Linked DNA regions of Rhinolophus ferrumequinum. The protein of the gene in region 1 interacts with the protein of each later gene in a pairwise test. Links are inferred from orthologs where the notes say so. Each region holds a gene or a part of one and is shown on either strand. Other genes may lie near its edges.

Region 1 (11,927 bases):
GCGAGCCAGTCACCAGGGTTCAGCCCAGAGACCTGGGCCACTCTCAGAGCTGACCGCAGAACGGGGAACCACTGTGAGGAGAAGCGACTCCTGCTGTCTTGCACCCCTACCACACAGGTCACCCCCTACACCCAAACTGCTTTGTTCATCAGAGCTCGGCTCAATGGGGAGTAACTCAGGATCCCTACTTCTATCTCTTCTCGATTTTTCCTCCTAAAGTCCCCATTTTTAGGGTCAGTGGACTCATTCTCAGACAAGGCAGGCAGGGATGGGCTGGGTCACTGAGAAGCGGCTGAGGGGAGGGGGCCTTCCCTACAAGGCTTGCTTCTCCCTGCCAGCGTGAACCTCTGGGAACGTGGTGTGTGGGGAGGCTATTCTGGGCTGGACGTGGTCTGTTGGTGGATGGACCCCTCCCAGCTCTCTGCCCACAAATCCCAACACCCCCTCTCCCTGAGAGGACCTCACTGTGTAATTACCATCCTCTCCCACACCAACTTCTAAACCCTATAATCGTCCTGCCTGGATCCACCCTGTTTAACCTCTTTAACCCCAAGGCCCGCTAAGAGAAGTTGGAGGTTTGGAGGAGAGAGCCAGTTTGTGTTTGGGGGAGACGGTGTAGAGTGGGGAACTCTGATAATTGTTTGGAGTCACACCTTTCTTTGCCTCTGATCTTCCAGAAGACACTCCCCACCCCGTCACTTTCCCCTTATCCTCTTAGGGCAGGCCCCGCCCTCCAACTCTTTCCCACCTTCACTCTCCATCTCCCCAGGCCTCCCCACCTCTACCTGTCTTTCTCACCTATTACTCCCTCTCCAGGCCCCTGCTGGGTGCTGAGGGCAGCTGGTCAAAGCTGTCCGCATTGCCCAGCTATGTTGGCAGGAGGCACCACTATTCCATCTGCTGGTCGGGAAAGGGAGGGTTGTGAGAGCAAGGTCCGCTTCTGCAGGGACTTCAAAATGCTGTCAGATGCGCTGACCCCACAGGTGACAAAGCATGACCTAGGCTGCCACGTGAGGGGGCTGGTGGATAGCAGAGGGGAACTGGAGGCAGGAATGTTCAGAGGGAATCTAATCTCCAGGAGAGCGCACAGGGCAGTGAAGGTCAAGGTTGTTGTCAGATGAGGGTGTGTGTGTGTGTGTGTGTGTGTGTGTGTGTGTGTGTGTAGCAATGGTGTGTGAACAAACCAGAATATCTGGCTGGGGTCTGGGAATGGGAACGTGAACAAGAAGTTAGAAATGTGAGGGCAGGACAACCTGGTCTGGGCTCTGCCTGGGGGTGCCAGTGACCCCCCACCCATTCAAACCCTGCGTCATCTCCTCACCCCTAGTTCCCTGAGCTGCAAGATCACATTCACAGGGAGGAGCCCAACGAGCTGAGAAGAGCTTGAGTGGATGCCCCCAAGGCAATGCCCTGCTGCACACCCTCCCCCCAGTCTGTGCTGGATGGCTCCCAGCATGCAGGGCTTCTCTGTGTCATAGCCCTCACCACTCTGCATTTTTTTGTCTGTGCCTACAGGTTGTAATCACTTCAAAGGCAGGGCCATGTCTTACTTATCTCCATATATAGTCCCGGTATCTGGCATGTTTAGGCTTTCAGTAAATGGATGGATGGATGAATGAATGAATGAATGAACAAGTGAATGAATTCTTCCTCAGCCCCTGCCTAGGCCTCTTGGCCTCTCAGTGCCAAGGAACAGAAACCCGAGGTAACTCCCCTGCCCCAGCATTGCCTCTCTCATTTCTCCCGTGTTCATCTGTGCTCCATCTCAGGAGAAACCTTAGTTGTGCGGGTCTGGGGCTCTCAGTGGAGACCGTTGCACTCATCAACCAACCATTCCTGGACCAGAACCGCACAACAGCCAAGCTCTTGGTGCAGGTGGTACACGAGGATGCAACAGGCTGCAGATGCCCGTCCTGCCCTCCCACTAGCTGGGCATCTGGATTGATCCCACTGGTAATTAGTGACACTGGCTGGGAGGAGGCTGGGATAGGAGCCAGACAAGGGTGTTGAGAAAGAGTGGCCAGAAGTCAGTGGCTGGAGGCACAAGGAGTAGAAAAAGGAACAGGGCAAGAAGGGAGGCGGAGCACTGAGGATGGAGCCTGGCAGTGGGGGGGCGGGACGGGGCGGGACTGGAATGGGAGCTCAGCCTTGGGGCTTGAACTGGGACTCTCAGCTCAGGCAGAGGTGGGGAGCAGGGGCCAAAGGAGGCTGGATTGTCCTTCTCAACCCTTTTCTTGGCCACCTTTAGTGGGGCGGAATCCAGGTTTTTCTCAAACCAAAGTCACTTTAACTTCCATAAATTTAAAAACAAGATATGAGAAAGCCTTGATTATTCTCAAGGTAACAAAACTGATCCCCTTCATTTCTTCTGTTATCTTCACAACCGTCCTGTGAGGTGAGGAAGGGAGTAGCTTTCCTCCTGCCTGCCTGCCTGCCTGGGAGGCAGCTGAGGCTCAGGGACAGTGAGAGTTTAGCAAAGTCACCCCACTTACACTTGTATGCATGAGGAGCAGAGCCTGTCTCGCACCAGGGCTTCTGACGTCAGGGTGCTTCTTGCTGGTGGTGGGTATGGTGCACCCAGCACTAAAGTTTGTGTGTCAAGACCCTGGTTCTTACCTGCAGGTTGCCCCTGAGTGAGTGGCTTCATTTTTTCAAGTCTGACTTTCTTTGAAGCAAGGATGTAAGGTGACTTTGGCAATGCTGATGTTCTCTTGGGTACCATGGTGCGGTGACATTCCCCCGACAGCTGGGGGAATCAGAGCTGCCATTACAGTGACTCCATCAACCAGTAGCTCAGTGCTGCTGTCTCCACAGAACCAATGTGGGGGCTGTGCTCAGCCCTGGTGCTCATCGGGTCTATCACTGTCTGAGGAGCCCATGCTGGGGTGGTCCCTGAGCCTTTCTACCAGTAGGACCCATAGAACCACAGATTTTGATCTAACCCTGACGTCTCGGGGCTACCATCAAGCACCCATGCTCCCTCATATCCAAAATGGGACTCTAGATTTAAATTTCAGGCCCCAAATTCAGACCCACCTTTTTGACATTAAGTTCCAGCCACCACCCTTCCTCCCTCCCCAGTGAGATGGCCGCAATGCTGATGCATCCTTCGTTTTCTTTCTCCCATCCCCGTCTCTTCTTCCTTCTCCCCACCCCTCTCCCTCATGTCTATTTTCCCCTCTCATATCCCCCAACCTTTTCCCTGTATTGCACCCTCCTTTATTCTCTCCTCTACCTCCTCACATCTCTCCCAACTTTCCTCAACCCTCTTCTTTCTTTATCTTTCCTCCTCTGCTTCTCCATGTCTTACTTCTTTTCCATGCTCCTGCCTCTGCAGGTGGCAGTTCTGAGTTCCCCTGGGTCTCTCCTACCAGGGCATCTGCTTCTCATCTCTGAGTTGGCCTCCTCCCAGTGGGACCCAGGCAGAGGACCCAGGGGCCCTGGTGAGTGGAGGGGAGAAGGTGTCTGGGCTCCCTGTATGGTTGTGGGCTTTAGGAGGTCTCGGGCACTGGTTGCAAGCTGCTGTGCATTGCATTGGGCCAGGCTGATGCCTGTGTGCTCTCAGATGGCACTACCTCACCACCTTCACTTGGGACACCAGTGGCCACCATGCCCTGCTTCTGGCCCTGGGTGAAGTTATGGTGGAGCTGGGGCAGCCTCGCTTTGCTTTGTGGGGAGGGGCGAGGGTACCCCTCTGTGTCATCTGGGTCTCTTCCCACTTCCTCTCCTTCTCCCATAGGTAAGCAGTCACCCAGTCAGTCCTTTGATTTGCCTCTGAAATGCTGCTCAGAGTTCTCTACTTTCAGTGGTTCCAGCCTTCACTAGCTCTTTGATGGACCTTGGCAATGATGTCCCAGCTATTTTCCTTTCCAGGCCACCTGACACCCATTCCTACTCATTTCTTTTTTTTTCTTTTCTTTTTTCTTTTTTCACGTCAGACGGGTAATGTGCCCATGTCCTAACAAGGTTTGAGGGAGGCACATCTCACACAAAAGCGTGAACACTCAATCATCACACTTATGAACTACCAAAGGATCCTACTCATTTCAAAGTAGGCCTAGTACTACTTTCGAGAGAGATAATTCACTCTCTTGAAACTTCCCAACACTCTCATTGCCTTTAGAATATTCCTAACACAGCCTTCCACATTCCCAACAGTTCTGTCCCCTAAACTGTCTTCCTTGTGTTTTCATCTAGTGTTCTGTGAAGTACTCCAAAATAAATAAGATGTATTTCTCCCTTTAACATTTTAGTATGAATCATTAAAAAATAGAGTAATTTTCTTACATATTTATACCATCATCATAGCTAACAAAAATATTTTCTCATGTCTAATTCTCAGTCCATATTCAAATTTGCCCAGTTGTTCCCAAAATATCTTTCAGTTGGTTTGATTGAATCAAAGACCAAGCATTATACTTGGTTGTTATGTATCTAAAGTTTCTTTCTTTTTTTTTTTTTAAGAGCTTGCTTCATTTATTTAATGTGTCTGGTTAGCACCTGCATTTGGATTTTTTTTTAAATTTATTGGGGTGACAATTGTTAGTAAAGTTACATAGATTTCAGGTGTACAATTCTGTACTACATCATCTGTAAATCCCATTGTGTGTCCACCACCCAGAGTCAGTTCTCCTTCCATCACCATATATTTGATTAAAGTTTCGTTTTCTTTTTCTTTTTTTTTTCTAAATTACATGGAACGCTTCACGAATTTGCGTGTCATCCTTGCGCAGGGGCCATACTAATCTTCTCTGTATCGTTCCAATTTTAGTATATGTGCTGCCGAAGCGAGCACTAAAGTTTCTTAATCTTGACTTTAGACCACCTTCCCTCCCATCTATCTTTTACCACCACATCCTTCCTGAGCCTTTTGAGCCACCCACTCCTATCCTGCCATGGACTTTAAAACTACTCCTTTTTTACATTTGGCCCTTTCCTTGTCCTTGGAACTGAGAGCTTGCCCCTTTATTCTCTAAAGTCACCTCAGAGAGCACCACCCACTTCTGTGAAATTCTTTCTTTTCTTTTTTCATCCCTGGGCTGAGGTACCACTTGTCTCTCCCTCTGGGTTCATCCAGCTGCCACCAGATGTTTCTGTCTGTTCACAGTATGGACTTGGTTCTGCCTGCTGTCAGAGGGTAGGGCCACTGACTTCCCTGCCTTGCTGCCCCTGCCCTGTGCCTACCATATGCCTGGTATCTAGAGGCAATACAATAAAGAAACCTTTGAATACTCCTTTCTTCAGCATCTTCGCTCCTCCTCCACAGCCTGCCTCCTATAACTGGGAAGCAAGGTCCAGAATGGGCGTGGTGTGTTTTGCTGGAAGGTTGTGATCCTGGAAATTGGCGCTCAGCACAGCCCAGATCTCCTTCCTTTTGCTCCTACAGTTTCTTTCCTTCTTTGTGTACACACACTGAGACTCAGGAAGTGATTCTTGAGGCAGGATTGTAGGAACCTAAGGGGTGGGGCCCAGGCTGGGGGAGGGAGAATGTGCTGGCTGCTACTGTCCTTGGCCTATTCACACAGCAACTTCTGGGGACCACCACCGCACACAAGGGAGGGAGGCAGCTTGAGCCTCCCACCTCCACTTCCAGCCTCGCCTGGCTTTGCACTCTGGGATGAGAAGGCTGTCTGCTAGGATGGGGTGGAGAAATCCAGGGGGTATATGCCATGTCTCTCTTAGTGCCCATCCACCACGACAGGCTGATCAAGGAGTGGTGGGAGCACAGACCTTGTCAATCTTCCCACAGAGGGAGGGACCTGACTCTGCTGGATCATAATTGATTGGATGGGATGGCCTGGTGAAGGGTTTTCTCCCCTTCTCAGCCAGCTACTCAGAAGCCCTAGAGAATGGAGAAGAGACTTAACAGAGGGGGACAGAAACACCGCTGTAGAATGTTGGGGACTCCCAGGGTATGAGGCTGGGAACTTTCTCTAAGTGTTTATTCTGGCCCCACCCGATCCCAGGGAGCCAACAGCGCCCTCTGCTGTCGGGGAAGGAGAGGGCCTTGAATAGAGATGGAGCCCGAGGAAGGGAGGGGGCTCTGGTGGAGGACTTGGAGGTCTCTGGCCGACCATCTTGTCACCTTGCCTCAGCTCCGCCGCCCGGCCCGGGCACTCATCCCTGCTTTGGCTCTCACACGCCTCCTCCGCTTCCCTGAACCAGAGAGAACCCAGCAGCGCTCCGTCGCACTCTTCTATACTAGTTGGCACAGGATTGGAGGCGCCAGAAGAGACCCAGGCACCCAGAGGTCCTGCTCCTATTGCTCTTACTCGGCCGGGGTGGGTGCTGTCTTCCGGGTCGGGGCCACTTGGCCCTAACCCAGCGGGGGTTCGACCCTCCCCTCCGCGGCCGGGTGACTCAGGCCGCAGCTGTTCCCGCATCACATGAGGGAGGCCGGCGGCCACTCGGCGGGGGAGGGGGCTGGAGGCCTGGGCGGGGCCGCGCGGCGGGCGGGGTCGGAACCGGGGGGGGGCGCAGCTAGAGAACCCCTGACCGGCGGCGGGAGAGGAGCGCACAGCCTCGAGGAGCCCAGGTGAGGCGGAGGGGTAGGTCCGCTGCGTCGTGGTCGTCGTCGGATCGCCGGCAGCCCCCTCCTCCAGGCTCGCGCCGGCCTCCGAAGACGCGCGGCGCTCCGGGCAGCTCCGAGGCCCTCGCAACTTTGAAAAGTTCCAGAGGCCCGAGTGGGTTGGGGTGCCGGCCGCACCTATTTTTTTGGGGTGGTCAGAGCGCAGGGGAAAGTGACGGGCGGTCGGCCTTGGGCTGAGGACCGTTTTCGGGAGTGGTCTGGCGGGGAGGGGTGCTTAACTCTTGGGGCTGGCGGCCGAGAGTCCGCGCCCTCCGGTCTGCCCCGGGCCGCGGGGCCGACGGGCTGGTGCGGGCTGCTCCGCGGTCGCCCCCACCCCTTTCGGGCCGAGGAGAAGAGGGGGCTGGGAGACGTAGATCCGGGTGGGCGGGGCCGGGAATGGGGGCCGAGTAGGGAAGGCCTCGAGGGCCGGCAGGGAGCCCGGAAACCGAGGGCCCCCTCGGCGAGTTCTAATCCCCCTCCCCTCCCCTCTGCCCCAGGCCCGTCAGCCATGGCGGTGGAAGGAGGAATGAAATGTGTCAAGATCTTGCACTACGTTTTTCTGCTGGCCTTTTGCGTGAGTGGGGAGTGGGGACGATGGGGGCGTGCTGGCAGGGTGTGGGAAGACTTGGCTTCCGAGAGCTGAGGGCTGAGGGACCGAGAATGAAGGCAGCTGGAGACCAGATGTGGAAGGAAACCCCGGGGAACAGCTGAAAACAGCACGGCCACCCCCTCCTCCAGACTTCTGGGACCTCTGAGGCTGATTTGGATGAGAATGGTCAGCCTGAGTGCGCAGCATCCTCGCTCCAGCCCCTCCTGGCCCTTCCTGTCTGGTGACCCAATCACTTGTGATAGGGGCAGTGGGGCAACCAGCCAACGGCTGATGTTATCTCCAGGCTACAGGACTACTCTGCCCTCCCCAGCCTCCTTCCTCCTTTCTGGCTCTCCACCTCCTCATTCCTCCTCATTCAATCACCCTCTTCACCCCTCCCAGCTGCTTGTGGGTGGGGAAGGGCTCTGCGCACCTCAGTTTGCTCTTGCTCCTGCCCTGAGAGGCTACCATTCGTCCAGGGAGGGGCACACTACGCTTGTCGCCTTTTCCCTGGCCTAGCTGGCTGGAGGAACCCTAATCACAGCTGATGGGGATGGGTTGGGCATGGAAGATGATGAGAGGGCAGTTCTGGGAACCCATGAGGCCCCCAGGAAACAGTCCTCTTGGTTAGGAACATGTGCCCTGGGGTCAAGGCGTTATGGGAACTTCTCTTGGGTAAGGATGGGTCATCTTCCTCCCCCACAGTCCAAAGTTTCCTGGAGGGGTGAGAATCTGTCCTTCCAGGATGGGGTTAAGTCTGTGTCCTGGATGCACCCAAGGGTTATGGATTGTGGGTCGGGGCTAACCCTGCCCGCCACTCTTGCAGGCCTGTGCAGTGGGACTGATCGCTGTGGGCATAGGGGCCCAGCTCATCCTGAGTCAGACCATCAACCAGGGGGTCATGTTGCCTGTGGTCATCATCGCAGTGGGTGCCTTCCTCTTCCTGGTAGCCATTGTGGGCTTCTGTGGGGCCTGCAAGGAGAACTACTGTCTCATGATCACGGTGAGTAGGGTGTGGGGCCAGTGTGGGTGCTTGGGACTTCTGGAATGTCACTTCCCTGGGGGGCTCACGAGGGTGGGTGAAGTGAGGAAAATCTGTGTGAGTGTTCCAGAGACTGGCTGGGCCACAGCTGGCCCCCCTTACCCAGACTCCAAACCTGACTCCTGTCCTTCGCTCCTGCAGTTTGTCATCTTCCTATCTCTTATTGTGCTGGTGGAGGTGGCTGCAGCCATTGCTGGCTATGTGTTTAGAGACAAGGTAAGTAGGGAATAAGGGGAGGGCCCTGTGTCAGAGGCCTGGCTGCTCTGGCACCCAGGTGCCCTGAATTCTGACCTCAACAGTGTTCCTCCCTACTCCCAGGTGATGTCAGAATTTAATAAGGATTTCCGGCAGCGGATGAAGAACTACCCAAAACAGAACCACACGGCTTCGTTCCTGGACAGGATGCAGGAAAATGTGAGTGGGGCTCCTGGGAGCAGGGGTAATGGGAGAAGGAGATTCTTATCTCTATATTGAAGGTGGAGGTTCACTTCACAACCTCCCCCAAATCTCTCCTCTCTCCCAGTTCGAGTGCTGTGGGGCAGCTAACTACACAGACTGGGAGACCATCCCTCTGGAACCCAAGGGCCGAGTCCCTGATTCCTGCTGCGTCAATGTCACCCAGGGCTGTGGGATTAATTTCAGTGTGAAAGAGATCCATACTGAGGTAGGGAGGAGGCTGAGCTGAGGTAGCAGGGGACTTGGGAAAATTGGGAAATGTTTTAAGAGGTGAGAGGAACCAGGAACTGAGGTGGAGAGGGTTGGGGCTCTGGGAAGTTGGGGATCAGGGATGGGGAGGGGATATAGGAATGCTAGGGGTGGGGTGAGAGGAACAGAGGGTGGGGGAGAGACAGATGGACCACGGGAGGTGGGTGGGAGGTTCCTGATTGTGTTCTTGCCCTTGGTGCCTGCTACCCTTCAGGGCTGTGTGGAGAAGATTGGGGTCTGGCTGAGGCGCAATATTCTGCTGGTGGCTGCAGCAGCCCTGGGCATTGCCTTTGTGGAGGTGAGAGGTGCCCTTGGGACTCATTCCAGGGCATCTGGGAAGTAGGGGCAGTGGGCAGGAGGGTGCTGAGCAGGAGGTACGGTCTGGGGTGGGGAGCCCCGGGTATATTTAAGGTCTCTTGTGTGGGTTGGGGGTACCTTGCCCTTCTGACTTCTCTCCATCCCCCCTCCCTATCTTTCCTTCTAGGTCCTGGGAATTGTCTTTGCCTGCTGCCTTGTGAAAAGTATCCAAAGTGGCTATGAAGTGATGTAGGGGGTCTGGTCTCTTCAGCCCCTCATCTAGGAGAGTGGGGTCGTATATTCCACATTTTTCAATTAAACGGATTATTTTTTCAGACTGAAAAGACAGTCTCAGTTTATCTTAAAGAGTGATACTTTATCCCTTCCCTCCCCTTCATGTTCCTGTCTTCTGGGACCGTGTTCTATTTGTACCTCCGGGACAGGCAGGCCTATTTCAGGGGGTGTTGGCAAAAGGGGATTTTGCTGAAGGTCTTGGTTGGGCTGGCAGTGGAAGCAGGGATTGGGAAGAGGTTGTGGCCCTCTGCCCTCCCTGCCTCCTGCTCCTGTGCTGCCAGGCTCAGTGCTGCAACATTCATGAAGCCATCTGCAAAAGTCAAAAGGATTCCCCACAAAGGTTCTACTTGGGAGAGGCCAGCCCACTGTGTACCATCTGCTCCCTGGCCTTCTGTTCACCTCTGAGAGCCCAGCAACTCCCTCCCCCACCCAGGGGCCTCGCTCCTTTCAGGATGGTGATAAGTTGCTTTGACACCTATGTGGCCAGTGTCCATCCTTCTTGACTAAGATTAGATAACAGAATGGAAGTGGGTATTGCCTTTTTTCCCCATGGAAATCACTAAGCCTGGTCCTGACCCCTCCTCACCACCTTCCCTCACCCCGCAAGAAAAATATATAACTGCTATTCCCACTTCAGACAATGAATTGCAACATTACTCCATGTAGAAAATAAAGGAAATGTCCAGTAATGCCCTCTGGTGGCCATTCCTTTAGGTGCAGTTTCAAAGATCACCTGGAGAGGCAAGACGGCCACCTTGTGCCCCGCAGTGGGTGCTAGTTTAGCAGGCACTAAACAGGCCAGAGACCTTGGGCAATAAGGCAGCCTAGCGTAGTTAGCACTCAAATTGAGCACCTTCATCTTTGCCCACCTGTTTTTTTTTTTTTTTTAAACAGTACACATTTATTGATTGTCTATTTTATGCCAGGTACCAGGCAGTACCAGGGTGGGGACACATAAAGTTCTTGCACTTGAACAATCTCTTGCTGGAAGGTTGGGTTCAATAGACTGCCTGAGCAGGCTTGGGGAGGACCCAGGTGAGCACAGCATCCACCAAGCTGGCTGGCAGGTAGGAGGCTGGCAGCCAGAGCAGCTTGGCATCCCAGCCTGGGCTGTAGCGGGTTCTGGGGTGACGAGCAGTCAGGGCATGCTCCAGGCACCTGCTCACCTTGGTTAGGTCCGGGTCACAGATCAGGTTCATGACACGCTGCTGCACTTTCAGGTCTGCAGCCCAGTGGGTGGTTGTAATTACATCCCTGTCCCACTGCAGCCCATCTCAGGCCCTCTCGTGGGTCCTGGGGCTTGTTGCCCAGTGGAGATGAGAGGAATCCTTAGTCCCATGCCCATTTTGGGGAGTGGGCAGGCTCCTCATGGCCGGGGTGGCATCCCACTCATCCTCACCCCCTTCCTGACTTCCCTGCCCACCTCCTCCCGGCAGGCTGGTGCAGGACTGACCCTTCTGGCAGGCTCATTTACCTTCATACACTCCCTATGTGGGCCCAGCTACTTACACTTGGTGAGGAAGTCCTCTCCATAGTGGGCCTGAGTGGCTGGAGGCAGCCGTGCCCAGCAGGCCTGCAGGGCGTCCTCTAAACTCTTCAGGTTTGTCACAGGGGTTTGGAAGAAGCCAGGCTCCACGATGGAGACTCGTATCCCAAAAGGAGCCACGTCCCGCCTGGAGGGAGGCAGAGGGAAGTACCTGGGTTCTTGCCCTCATAGGGAGGGGACGCTCAGGCACATGGATGGGGGCTAAAATGGGAAAGTTGTCACAGACCAGGGACGGGGGTCCTGACAGGGATATCCCTGCTGCCCTGGAATGAGGGGCAAGTGGAAGAGAGGAATGGAGGTATTTGTGAGATTTGTTTTCCTTTGTATTCTTTTCTACGAACTACAACAGGTCAGCAAACTTCTTAAAAGGCCAGATAGTAAATATTTTTGGTACTGCAGGCCTAAAAATTAGTGATATATAGGTACTTCTATAACAATTAAGAAATGTAAAAACCATTATTACCTAGTCGGCAGCTGGCCCATCTGGCCTGAGAACCAGTTTGCCAACTCCATTCCCTAGCTCCCAAACGCAAGGAGTCCTGAGTGCTGGATATGAAGGGTGTAGATTGGTATTTGCTGGAGGAAAGTGGGGCTACATCTAGCCACCCCGGCACAGATGCAGAAATCCAAGTATAAAGTATGTGTTCCATGGTGCCGATTGGAAAATTAAAAGACTGAGGGATAGGGACAAAAGTCGATATTGAAATTATTTGCTGAGTGATGGTGACAAAGGCAGGTTTCCTTCAGAAGGTTGGCTTAGCTTAGAGGACTCATAATTCTGCTCAAAATTCAGTCCCTGCTTCTGTGTCATCCACATCGTCTCCACTGTGCTCTCAAGGGACTTCAAATATTGTTGTCTAAAGATAAGGGGCAGAAGAACAGAGTG
Region 2 (12,041 bases), on another chromosome or scaffold:
CATTTGCTGAGGACCTTCTGGGCCATGGAGTCCTCTGCCGTGCACCTGCTCCTCCCTTTATTCCTCTTACCAATCTCTGGATGCTCCCACCTCAATGATGTGATCCCTTCCGTCCTTGCCATGCAGTGCTTCCACGGCGCAGATGTCCAGTCCCCCAAAAATCTCTGAGCACGTATCCACCCATAGCTTGTACCTGCCAAGACATAGGGCAAGGAGCCTGTCAGTGCCTTCCTGGGCAGCCACACTCCCACCTCACGTCCCCTCCCCGCCGAGTTCGGGCCAGCCACCTGTCAGACATGGCAATCTGCTCGAGCATTGCAGAACCAGTGTTGGTCTTCCAGTTTCCTGACACTGATGTCCTCCTGGCGGGCAAAAGGAGAGAGGGCAGAGACTCAAGGGGACCTGGGCCACCCAGGGCAGGGCAGGGGACCCCTGCTCGGGCCTCGGTCTCTCCACTCACATATAGGCCTTGTAGTTCTGCCCAATCTTCTGGATGCGCACATCATATTTGGCATCAATGAAGGGCTCGGCAGTGGCATATGTCTTGGTCAGTGCCACGACACTTGCGATATCCTGGAAGTCATGCTGGTTGTCCACCTTGACCTGTGGGAGTGGGGTGGGGATCAGAGCCTGGGCAGGGTGGCACAGCAGTGGGCACTGGGGCTGCCTCAAGCAGGGGCAGGCACACGAATGACACAGGTGAGCTGAGTACATAAAAATTTGGTGGACACACCAAGGCATTCACACATGCATAAAATTCTGGGCCTCCTGGTTTTTACATGTACACACAGACACAAAGGTGTGTGTATACAACTCTGTGAATATAATAAACACTACTGAATTGTCTACCTTATGTGAGTATGTTTTATGGTATGTGAAGTATATCTTAATAAAGCTGTGTGAAAATTGTATATACGGTATATGCATACAGACACAAAATCAGTTGCACACACAACATACAAACAGAGAAGCATGGACACACTCCAACATAAAAATTACAAGTCTGCTTTCTATGTACACAGAGACAAAATCAGATGTATAGAAAGCATGCAGTACCACAAGACCCTTGAATGTAAAAGATCACCTAGTGTGTGTTCAACACAGGCATGCATATACACAGATAGAATGCTATATACACTAACAAAATAACAGGACACATAAACTTGGCTGAGAGCATGATACAAAATTGGGCCAACAAAATCTAAGAATGTGAGGGAAAGGATACAAATAGATAAAAACACCACAGGACACACAATCACATAAAATTACCCATGTGCATTGAATATACAATATACATCTACATACATGAGCACAATGCCAGGAGTGTACACCATGTACGAACACACATGGACACCCCCCACTTGGGGACTCACCTTGCCCATCCCGGAGTGTGCATGCCCCATCTTCACAACCACGGGGTATGTTGTGCTGCTGAGCTGGTAGGATGGAAAGGCAGAGCATGGTCAGGGCAGGAGGGCTGATGGCCAGGGCTGGGGTGGTGCTGAGGGGAGCCCATCCAGCGGGAGCCACATTAGGAGCCATTTCCCAGAAGAGGCAGGTCAGAGACAGGCATACAGCAGCTGGGGGTCCACAGCGCCTCCTAACTCAAAATCAAACCCAGAGCCCTGTCTGTCTGGCTCCCCCTCCACCACCCCCAAGTTCCAGACTTTCTGCCTCTGCTTGGATAAGGGTGGGAGCCTTTTCCGGAAAAGGGAAAGTTTGTTTATACAGTGACTGGATGATAGAAAAGTGAGTGTGCATGCCTGGGGCTGTGGTCGTGAGCATGTAGCAACTGGACCCTTCAGCCAGGCCTTGCATGTTAGCCTTGTCCACATGCATACACAACCTAGAGACACACACACAAATCCCTAGAACTCAGATCTACACGATCAAACCCAGAGATGCCCACGCAGGTTGAGACCCATGAGATGGAGAGACCTGCAACCAACACAGGCTCCAGAGCCCACGTTGCTCTCCAGCTGCACCGGCACCCAGTCATTCAGCCCAGCGCTCCAGGCCAGCCTCCTTGCCCAGCAGCACACACTCAACTGTTTTGGGCGCAGACACATACACAGCCCTCCTCCCATCACCCAAATCCACACAACAGTTAGAGGGACACACACAACATGAAGGATTACCCATGCAATACAGAGACAACCCTCAAGGCACAGCCACAGAACGCAAAGGCACACACAACTCGGACAGGCACACACAACAGAAGTGGACACGTAGTCAACACTCACAGACACACACGCAACACTCCTAGGCAAACTCACAACAAACAGAAGGACCCACTCCACATACAGAGGTACACACACTTCTAGGTATTCACAGAACCACTGAGACCCATAACACGGACACCCACACCACACTCCTGGGCACACAGAGTATCTAGGGACATGCACACAACATGCCTTGTCATATGTACAAACGGAGAGGCATACACACAGCTAGAGACACCCACATCCCTCCTAAGCATACACACAACACTTGGGTGTGTGCATGCGCGCACACACACACACACTCATTTGCTCACACATTCAGGTACAGGGATATGTCAAGTCTCCCTGATCCTGGGCGGGAGAGAGGGAGCTGAGTTGGGCGACCCCAGCCCCACACAGTACAGGATGCACATGGGGCTGGCCGTGCCCGCCCTCTGCTGTGCAGACTGCTGCCCCACAGCGTAGAGATGGTATTCCCTATTCCCGGAGGGGTGGCGAGGGCGGTGGCGGTTCCCGACAGGCACAGGAAGCCCGCAGGCTCAGGGTGACCGATTGACCTTCAGGCCTTGCCCGCCCTCCTTCCCGCATTCCCACCTTCCTCATTTCCCAAATGACTGTCGTCATTATGGGGCGCTGAGAGGAACCGTGTGGGGACGGGCTCGCGAGGATCGTCTGGGTAGTGTTGCAGGGAAACACTGCAGAAGCAGCGTGTGATGTGTGACGTAACATTCAGGCAACACTCAGCTCACAGAGGGGAGCAACACATCCACAAGGATATGTGCAACCTAGACCCGCTTTACAGAGGCACACACAACTCCTAGAAGCAACACAAACACACAGGGCTACACACACCCAGGTCCACACATACACCACACATACCACCACCTAAAGGCAAACATTCGACTCTCAAAGGCAGAGACACAGCAGAGAGCTGTGCACAAATGCACACACACAAGCCCAAATTTTCTAGGCTCCTCTTTTCCTAAACCCTCCTTATTTCCTCTGGACCTGAGCCTGAACACAACACTGTGGATGTGTATCTGTGTGTGTCCACTCGTGTGTCTGTGTGTGCCCGTACGTGTGTATGTGTGCCTGTGTGCCCGCACGTGTGTCTGTGTGCCTGTGTGTGCCCGCATGTGTGTCTCTGTGTGCCCACACGTGTGTATGTGAGTCTGTGTGTGCCCACACGTGTCTGTGTGTGCCTGCACGTGTGTATGTGTGTGTGTGTGCCCGCAGGTGTGTCTGTGTGTGCCCACACATGTGTGTGTGCAGGGAGCCCTGCACTCTGGGATCCCCTAGAGAGCCCTAGCTTTGAATCTTGGTCTCTCTTCCTCCTAAGGCCATGGGGGATCCTAGGCAGGTCACTTAATCCTCTCTGGGCCTCAGTTTCCTGATCTGTACAAAGGGTACAATCAGGCACAAGCACTTAGTGTGCTATGGGGATTGTCAGGTGTCTGCTCTGCCTACCTAGGTGGGCCCCATGGCCCCCACGGCCCCCACGCAGCTCCCCAGATGGTCACACACATGGACACCCCTCCATGAAACCCTACCAGTTTCAAAACCTGCACAATAAACCAGATCCACACAACCCCTCACATGTAGACAGTCGGCGAAACTCTGTGCTGACTCATGTTTCAGAATCACAAAGCTGGCGTCAGAACCAGCTTTGGGTCAGTGAAGTGCTGCAGCAGGACTTTCCCTTCTTTCACTTCTTCCTTTGGTCCCGACACTGACTTACTCAGCCCCCTGTCTCATTCACTCTCACTCCGCCACTTTCACAATCAGCTTCTCCAAATTCCTGGTTTACTTCCTCCCCTACTTCAGAGTAATTTCTTCACTCTCATTCCTGGGCAGGTCACTCAATCCTTTGTCTCAGTTTCCTCATCTGTATAATGAGAATATGAACAGTCTCTAACTCACAGGGATGTTGTGAGGAACCAATGAGTTGTGAAAAATGCTCAGCACAATACCTGGCACACAGGAAATCTGCATCCTCTAAAAGTGCTGGGACTATTATTATAATAGTGCTGGGTACTATTATTGGTAAGCCAACACTAATTAACCAGGAGGCAATCAGGATTGACTGAGAGATAAAATACTAAGATTATAGAACGGTGCTTGATAACCAGTAAGCACTCCTCAAGAGCTGGTGGTAGTTTTTATTGTGGTGGTATTGTTGTTGACTGAGTTAATCCAGCTTAATTAGCCAGGGGGTATTGCAGATTGAATGAGAGAATTTACACAAAGACTTCAGGGCACAGTACACAGTAAGTGCTCAATAAGTGATGCTAACAACTACCATTATTGTTATTATTGGTCTGTCCTCCTTGAACTAACGAAGGATGTCAATCTGCCCTCAGAGCCCTTTCCCAGGACCCCAGGGAAGATTCAGGCAGCATCTGGAAGCTGTTGGGCAGGGATTGCCTCACCCCACCATCTACGTCTACCGGGGCGTTGGCGGGGGGTTGGTGGGGCAGGGGCAGGGCAGGACGGGAGGGTATCAGTTTTCTCCTGACTCACTGGCCTCTTTCACCACCATTCAACTCCCCCCACTCCAATGCTCATTAATTCACTGGCACCTTCCCGCTTGCCAAGCCTGCGTTAAGATCCTGGCTCCAGTTGGCCTAGGTTCAAATCCCAGCCATTCCCTGTGATCCTGGGAAAGTTCTTCAATCCCTCTATGCCTCTTATTTCCTCATCTGTAAAATGGGAATAATGTTGGTACCCATCTCAGAGGCTTATTGTGAGCTTTAAAAAAACCGAATTATAGTTGACATACAATATTATATTAGTTTCAGGTGTGCAATATAGTGATTCGATATTTCATACATTATGAAGTGATCACCGTGATAAATCTAGTTAGCATCTGTCACCATACAAAGTTATAACAATATTATTGACTGTAATCTCTGTGCTGTACATTGCAGTCCCCTGACTTATTTATTTCATAGCTGAAAATTTGTACCTCTTAATCCCCTTCACCTATTTTGTCCACCCCCCATCCCTCCTTTTTTTTGACAACCACCAGTTTGTTCTCTATCTATGAGTCTGTTTCTCTTTGGTTTGGTTGGTTGTGTTTTTAAGATTCCACATATAAGTAAAATCATGCGGCATTTGTCTTTTTCTATCTGATTTATTTCACTTAGCATAATACCCTCTACTAGATCCACCTATGTTGTCACAAACATTGTGAGCTTTAAGTGAGATAAATGATGTTGAGTGCCTGGTACACAGTTGGTGCTATGTAAATGCTGACTATTTGCCTGTGTTTTTTGAGAGGTCATTAAGACCCAGGCTCTGGCTCCAGGCCACCTGAGTTCAAATCCCAGTTCTGTCCCTTATTAACTGTGACCTTGGATAAGTCACTTCATCTGTCCATGCCTCAGTCACTCCAGATTGTATTCTTCCTCCATTCACCTGCTTTATCTCCCTCCACTGCTTCTACTCAGCCTCCTCTCTGCCTCCCCAACCCTGCACCAGGATGTCGGGTGTATCAGAGAGGAATTTTTGCTTTTTCTTCTTTTTTTTTAAGGAGGGCACAGCTCACGGCGGCCCATGTAGGGATCGAACAGGCAACCTTAGTGTCATCAGCATCACGCTCTGACCAACTGAGCTAACCCACCACCCCTCCAGAGAGGAATTTTTGTGTGTGTTTGGCATACAGTAGGTGCACTAGAAATGTTCACCGACGAATGAACTAATTCAGGCTTCAGCCATGGGGAGTTTGGGGGTTTGTGGGTGATTGGATAGACTTTGGAGAAAGTTTGGAAGCTTTAGGGAATTGCACGGGGGGAATCCTGCCTCTAAGCCCTCCATTGAGGCCGCCTATGGGGCCGATTTGGAGATGGGGGAGGGGGATGACCAGGGCGAGGCGCAGGGGGAGGGAGAGGAGGGTGAAGCCCGTTTTCGGCAGCCCTCGGCCCGCCCCTTGGCCTCCACTGATGGTGGGCGGATGAGTAATGCGTCCAGGAAGCTTGGAGGCCTGTGGTTTCCGCACTACTGCCACCCCCGCCCCTCGAGTGGACATTTATCCTCCGCTGCTCTGGCCCTGCCGCCATCACTGCAGACCCAGCGCCCAGAGAAGCTACACCGAAGGTAGGCAGGGGCCTGCCTCTGTGGCAGCAGGGCCTAAAGCAGAGCTCGAGCTTTCCTGCCTCGGCTGCCGGACACCTGGCTGCTCAGCCTGGCTGGGTGGGGGTGGAGGGGGGTACCAGGACCCTGGGCTGGTCAAGGGAAAGGGGGGGAGGGTGCTGGAACTGCTCCCCCAATCCCGGCACTCCAAACTCCTCCGAACCCCTGACATCCATCCCAACTCTCCCAAACTCACGAAACCCTAATACAACAGAAGCCTCCTAAGCGGCCAACTGCCCTGAACTCCCTCATTGCCCCCCAAGCCTCCAGACTCCTAAATCCCCAACTCCCTAAACCTGGAGACTCATCTGCTCCCAAATCCCTCTGGCACCCCCACCCTCTTAAACCCCCCAAGTCCCGCAACTCCCTAAACCCCCTCAGCCTCCCCAACTCCCCCACCTCCTCTCTCTCTCAATATGCACAACTCTGAAAGTCCCAACCTCCCCCAAATTCCTCCAGCTCAAAAACCCCAAATTCCTCACCCCAACTCCTCTCAACTTTCCGACTTCCCCGACCCCCCTAAATCCCCTAACACCACAGCCCCATAATCTCCCCCACTCACCCAGTCCCTTAAATCACTCAAATTTCACAACTCTGAAACTCCTGACCCCCTAAACTGTGGGCTCTCAAATCCCCACCCCCACTTAAAATCCCCAAACTCCCCAACCCCTTAATCCCAAGTACAGTCACCTCATCCCCCTCCAGGCTGCTTGGTGGTGGTGGTGGGGGGGACAGGATGGGGTGGGAGGCCTGCCAAGTCTGAGGATCAGCTGGGCTGGGGGCCTCCCTGACCCCTCCTCCCTACCTCTGCAGAGCCCACTATGGCCCCCTTTGCGCCCCTGGTCTCCGGCATCCTGTTGTTGCTGTGGCTGGCAGCCCCCAGCAGGGCATGTACCTGTGCCCCACCCCACCCGCAGATGGCCTTCTGTAGCTCCGACCTTGGTGAGTTACCCTACTCTGCCCACACGCTCTGTGCTTTGTTTTCCGCCTCAGTCCATTGGGGTTCACGACAGGGCTCACCTCTAGAACAGTTCCAAACTCAGCCCTACCCTGACTCTGCTTTTGCCACACTGGCAACCTCATGGTTCCCTGATTACTCCAGGTCCAGTCCCAGCTCACGGCCTTTGCACTGGCTGCTCCCTCTGCCTGGTACCCCCTTGGCCCCAGGTATCCATATGGGTGGCTGCCTCAAAAGTCACCTTCTCAAAATTTTAATCCCTGTTTCCTAATACTCCTGATCCCCTTTACCCAACTCTGAAGTCTCCCGTCATACTTAATACCTTCTAACATTCCATAGACTGATCTATTTTGCTTGTGTTTAGTCTGCCTCCTTCTGGCTAGAATGTGAGCTTCACGAGGGAAGGGATTTCTGTGTTTTGTTCACTGTTGTGTCCCTAACACCCAGAACAGTGCCTAGCACACAGCAGGCACTCTAGAATATTTGTTGAGTGAATGAACACGTGATGAATATATGAAAAAGGCTTAAAGCAGTGCCTGGCAGAGTAGGCACTCAGTATATAGGTAAAGCAATGAACAGAACTATTAGTGTGTTGTTTGGCATCCAGTGATTGATATCTATGTATGTGCTTTGTTAGCATGACTGTTGTGATTGTTTTAGTTTTATTGGCTCACGTAGTTCATTTGACTCATTTTACCCCCTCTTCTCCGGCAGTCATCAGGGCCAAGTTCGTGGGGACCGCAGAAGTCAACCAGACCACCTTATACCAGCGTTACGAGATCAAAATGACCAAGGTACCCTTACTGCACTTTCCTCAGCAGTTCCTAACATCTTTCTCCCTGTCAAAGAGAGAGAGAGAGAGAGAGAGAGAGAGAGAGAGAGAGAGAGAGAGAGAGAGAGAGAGAGAGAGAGAGAGAGAGAGAGAGAGAGAGAGAGAGAGAGAGAGAGAGAGAGAGAGAGAGAGAGAGAGAGAGAGAGAGAAAGAAAAGCCTTTGGCTGTTGGTTGGTGAGCAGGAAGTTAGCTGTGATCTCAGGATGCTGGTATATGAAGAAGATAGAGTGGGAGGATTATGTCAGTAAAAGAGACTCTTCCCCTCATCCATCGACAGATGTTCAAGGGGTTCAGTGCCTTGGGGGATGCCCATGACATCCGGTTCGTCTACACCCCGGCCATGGAGAGCGTCTGTGGATACTTCCACCGGTCTGAGAACCGCAGCGAGGAGTTTCTCATCGCTGGTGAGGCCCCGCCCCCTCGCCCTGGGCCACGCCCACCCGTTCCTCAGACGCTGCTGGGTATCCTGGGCCCGGCGAGGCTCTGAGGGAACGGTCCCAGTTGAAATGGGGACCGCCCCCAGCCGGGTCGGTGCTGCAGGGACGCCAATTAGGCGCCGCCCTGACCCCGGCCTAGCCAATCAGAAGCTGCCTGTTGCCTCAAACCACCCCCCCCCCACCACCCCGCAGGACAACTGTGGAAAGGGCACCTGCACATCACCACCTGCAGTTTCGTGGCTCCCTGGAACAGTCTGAGTTCTGCTCAGCGCCGGGGCTTCACCAAGATCTATGCCGCTGGCTGTGAGGAATGCACAGTGAGTGCCTGGGCCCTGCCCACTACCTGGAGAGTGCTCCTTGGACTCTTCCCCAAACCGTGGCTTGTTTCTTGCTCCCTCTAGCCATTCCTTGTCCCTTTGGCTGCTCCCCAAATCCTTGGGCTGTCCCTGATCTCTCCTGCTGTTCCCCCAGGCCTGAGACCGTTCGCCTAACATTCTGGTTGTACCTTTGCTTGGCTTCTGATACCTGAGGATTCGCTGTTCCCTGGACTTTCTGGCTGCTTCCTGTCCCTCTAACTCTCCTTTGCTACTCTTCTATAGTCCTGATGTCTGTTCCTGACTCCCTGAGATTGTTTCTTAGTTCCTAGAATGTTCTCCAAGAACCCAAAGTGCTGTTCCCCAACCCAATGACTCTTCCCCAGCACATCTGATTCTTGCTTTCCAGCTGTGACCGTTCCACACCCAAGGGCGAGTTACATTGTCCTTCTGACTATCCTGGACTGTTCCCTGATGGCCCTGAATGTCTGCTGACCCCAGTGACTGTCTGAGGTCCACGGCTCCTTCCTATGCTTAAGTTCCCCACCCGCTAGCTGTTCTCTGCTGCTGCGAGTTGTTCCCTATCCCATGGGACAGTTCCTCAGGAGATTCACCTGACTGACCCCTATGTCTGTGCCCAACCACCAGGAAATGGATCCTTTTGCTAGATTACTGTCATATCACCGAACCCAATGACTGCTCCCCCAATGGGAGGGGCTGTTCTTGAGTCTGTACCCAGGTGGAGTGATACCAGGTCTCTCCAGCAGCTCAATGTTGAAAGCTGAGGAGGGGAAGTTCTGTTCTGTCAGGGAGGGCGGGGCAGGAGGACAAGCCCTCAGAGATGCGCGTCTCTTCCCTCTTCCAGGTGTTTCCCTGCTCATCAATTCCCTGCAAACTTCAGAGTGACACTCACTGCTTGTGGACAGACCAGATCCTCACAGGCTCTGACAAGGGCTTCCAGAGCCGTCACCTTGCCTGCCTGCCACGGGAGCCAGGGATGTGCAACTGGCAGTCTCTGCGGCCCCGGATCGCCTGAATTCTGCCCCCAGCAGAAGCCAAAACCTGCACAGTACTCACCCCCTTTCCACCTCCTGTCTTTCTTTCTTTTAGACAATGAAATAAAGACCTACCACTCAGCAGGCAGTGTCCCTGTGCAGTGTCTGGGAACAAACTTATGTCAATGATGACCTGGTGGAAGTACCCTGGGACCAATGCTGAGGGGATGAGGGGTGTAAAATGTTGGCTTTTTATATTTTACATAAAATTTGAGGTATCGGTAATAATTCTATACATTGGCATTAGCATTAGTGATCTGCAATGTCAGCAATTTAACCTGTGTTATCAACCACAGCTTACTGGATAATCTCTCTACTCAATACTTTAAAACATTTTACTGATTAATTTATAATTCTTATTTGCACAAGTTCTAGTTCATAAATTACCCACTGCTGCCAAATCACTACCTCACTGACAAATTCCCCTGTTCACAAATCCCTCTGGTCCACAGGCTCATTGACAAATGCCCCATCAATGGACTAACAGTTCTCCTTGTTTCGGGTACCGTCCTGATGCCATCCAGTGAGGGCGTTCTGCCCCGTCCAAATCTGTGGCTGTTGCCATCTCCACCCTTAGGTCTTATACTGTGAGTCTGACTTGAGTGAAAGGGAAAAAGCCCCAGGGGTCTGAGACAACCCCCCAACCACATAACCCAGCCAAGGACTCTGGAAGAAGGGGTGGCCCTGCCACACCCCCCAACCATGGCCTGCAGGAGACTCCTTGGAAGTGGTTGTTTGGGGAATAGGAAAGATGGGGAGAAGGTATGATCTGGAAATCCCCAATCTCTGCCCTTCTCCCCCTTCTCCTACCTCTCCTTCCCTCACTTCTCTGACCAACTTTGACAGCAGTGAAGTGCAGATAAGGGTTCAAAATCAGACCCAACCAGGTACGTTAGCCCAGCCACCCCCCCACACCTCCCCTTATACAGCTGTCCCCTCACCAAAACGGGGGCCTCTAGGTCGGAGCCTCACCTTTCTGGCTCATCTTCCCCCATGAAACCTTCGCTAGAGACCCTCCCACCCAACATTCCCTCCCTTAGGCCTTCTTGCTCCCACAGCTTGTCCCAGGCCCCTCCAGTCCCTGGCTCTTGCCTTTTACACTCTGAAGGTCCTCACTCAGCTGAGGGCCCTGGGAACCAGAAATTCAGATTGGTGCAAACATTCCGTGGAACCCTCCAGTGACCTGTTGCCCTGAATCTGCTTGAAAAAAGGCTGCAAAATATCTTCTTTGGTGGAGAAAAGGACGCCTCAATTCCCTCCCATCAGACTACCCACTGCTCCTGCCAATAAGAACCCAGGTCTCCTCCAGAGTGGCCCCTGGATCCTCTGTGGTCTGGTCCTTTTGCACTCCTAGATGTTCCCCCAGGGCTCAAGGTATGTCCTAGGTCAGGATGGGTGCATTTTGAACACCCAGTGCTCATCTGCTGGTGCAGAGCACCTCACTCCAGCAATTTTTACATCAACATCTATTCCTTGGTTATGCCCTGGGGGGATACAAGTCTGGGAACAAAGTTATGTCAATGATGACCTGGTGGGAGTACCCTGGGACCAATGCTGAGGGGATGAGGGGTGTAAAATGTTGGCTTTTACACTCCGCCAAAAGGGCTAAATGGCAGCCTTCACTGATAGGTGTAACTGTAAGGGAAGGGCCCGGGCCCTGCTTGGGCCCTGGTGGCCATGTCACTATTGCCTCAGTTGCCTGCAAGAGTTTGGCGGCTCCTGACAGTTCACCGAATCCTAGTACTAACAGCTGCCTGCACGCACTCTTAGGCGGTTCCCTGACCCCAGTGGCAGTTCCCTGAGCCCTCAGCTGGTTTAACCCTGGGGAGGAAGGAGACGTAGAAAGTGGCAATGAAAGGATGGAGCCCAGTGTGGAGGCCATTCTCCTGCCAACCTGCCTACTTACAGGTGGTGCCCCAGATCAATACATCAATGCTTCATGGACAGGGCTATCCGACTGCAGCTTTTTCCATAGTGTCCAGAGCAGCGTACAAGGCCGCCTGCCCCACACCCTGGCAGGAGTTCCTGGCAGGAGTTCCTGGCAGGATATCTGCAGTCCTGGGGTCACTGTATCTTCCCATCACTCTTTTAG

The links.
Region 2: the proteins of CD63 (region 1) and TIMP1 interact in binary tests that used the Homo sapiens proteins (3 or more experiments, as listed by UniProt). The link is inferred for Rhinolophus ferrumequinum from reciprocal best matches to the Homo sapiens genes CD63 and TIMP1.

Annotation. Positions count from the first base shown.
Region 1 is NC_046293.1:55,213,579-55,225,505, reverse strand, and holds CD63 (CD63 antigen), read left to right. Parts: upstream 1-6,023; 5' UTR 6,024-6,281; intron 6,282-6,425; exon of another isoform or gene 6,426-6,535; intron 6,536-6,541; exon of another isoform or gene 6,542-6,683; intron 6,684-7,065; 5' UTR 7,066-7,076; coding exon 7,077-7,142; intron 7,143-7,983; coding exon 7,984-8,160; intron 8,161-8,340; coding exon 8,341-8,415; intron 8,416-8,517; coding exon 8,518-8,613; intron 8,614-8,722; coding exon 8,723-8,863; intron 8,864-9,118; coding exon 9,119-9,202; intron 9,203-9,388; coding exon 9,389-9,454; 3' UTR 9,455-9,549; downstream 9,550-11,927. Other genes in the region: RDH5 (retinol dehydrogenase 5), read right to left, coding at 10,494-10,717, 11,005-11,168. UniProt on the Homo sapiens protein: Functions as a cell surface receptor for TIMP1 and plays a role in the activation of cellular signaling cascades. Plays a role in the activation of ITGB1 and integrin signaling, leading to the activation of AKT, FAK/PTK2 and MAP kinases.
Region 2 is NC_046284.1:86,403,051-86,415,091, reverse strand, and holds TIMP1 (metalloproteinase inhibitor 1), read left to right. Parts: upstream 1-6,145; 5' UTR 6,146-6,181; coding exon 6,182-6,317; intron 6,318-7,166; coding exon 7,167-7,295; intron 7,296-8,025; coding exon 8,026-8,105; intron 8,106-8,420; coding exon 8,421-8,547; intron 8,548-8,772; coding exon 8,773-8,897; intron 8,898-9,759; coding exon 9,760-9,930; 3' UTR 9,931-10,033; downstream 10,034-12,041. Other genes in the region: SYN1 (synapsin-1), read right to left, coding at 91-193, 288-362, 461-603, 1,374-1,436. UniProt on the Homo sapiens protein: Metalloproteinase inhibitor that functions by forming one to one complexes with target metalloproteinases, such as collagenases, and irreversibly inactivates them by binding to their catalytic zinc cofactor.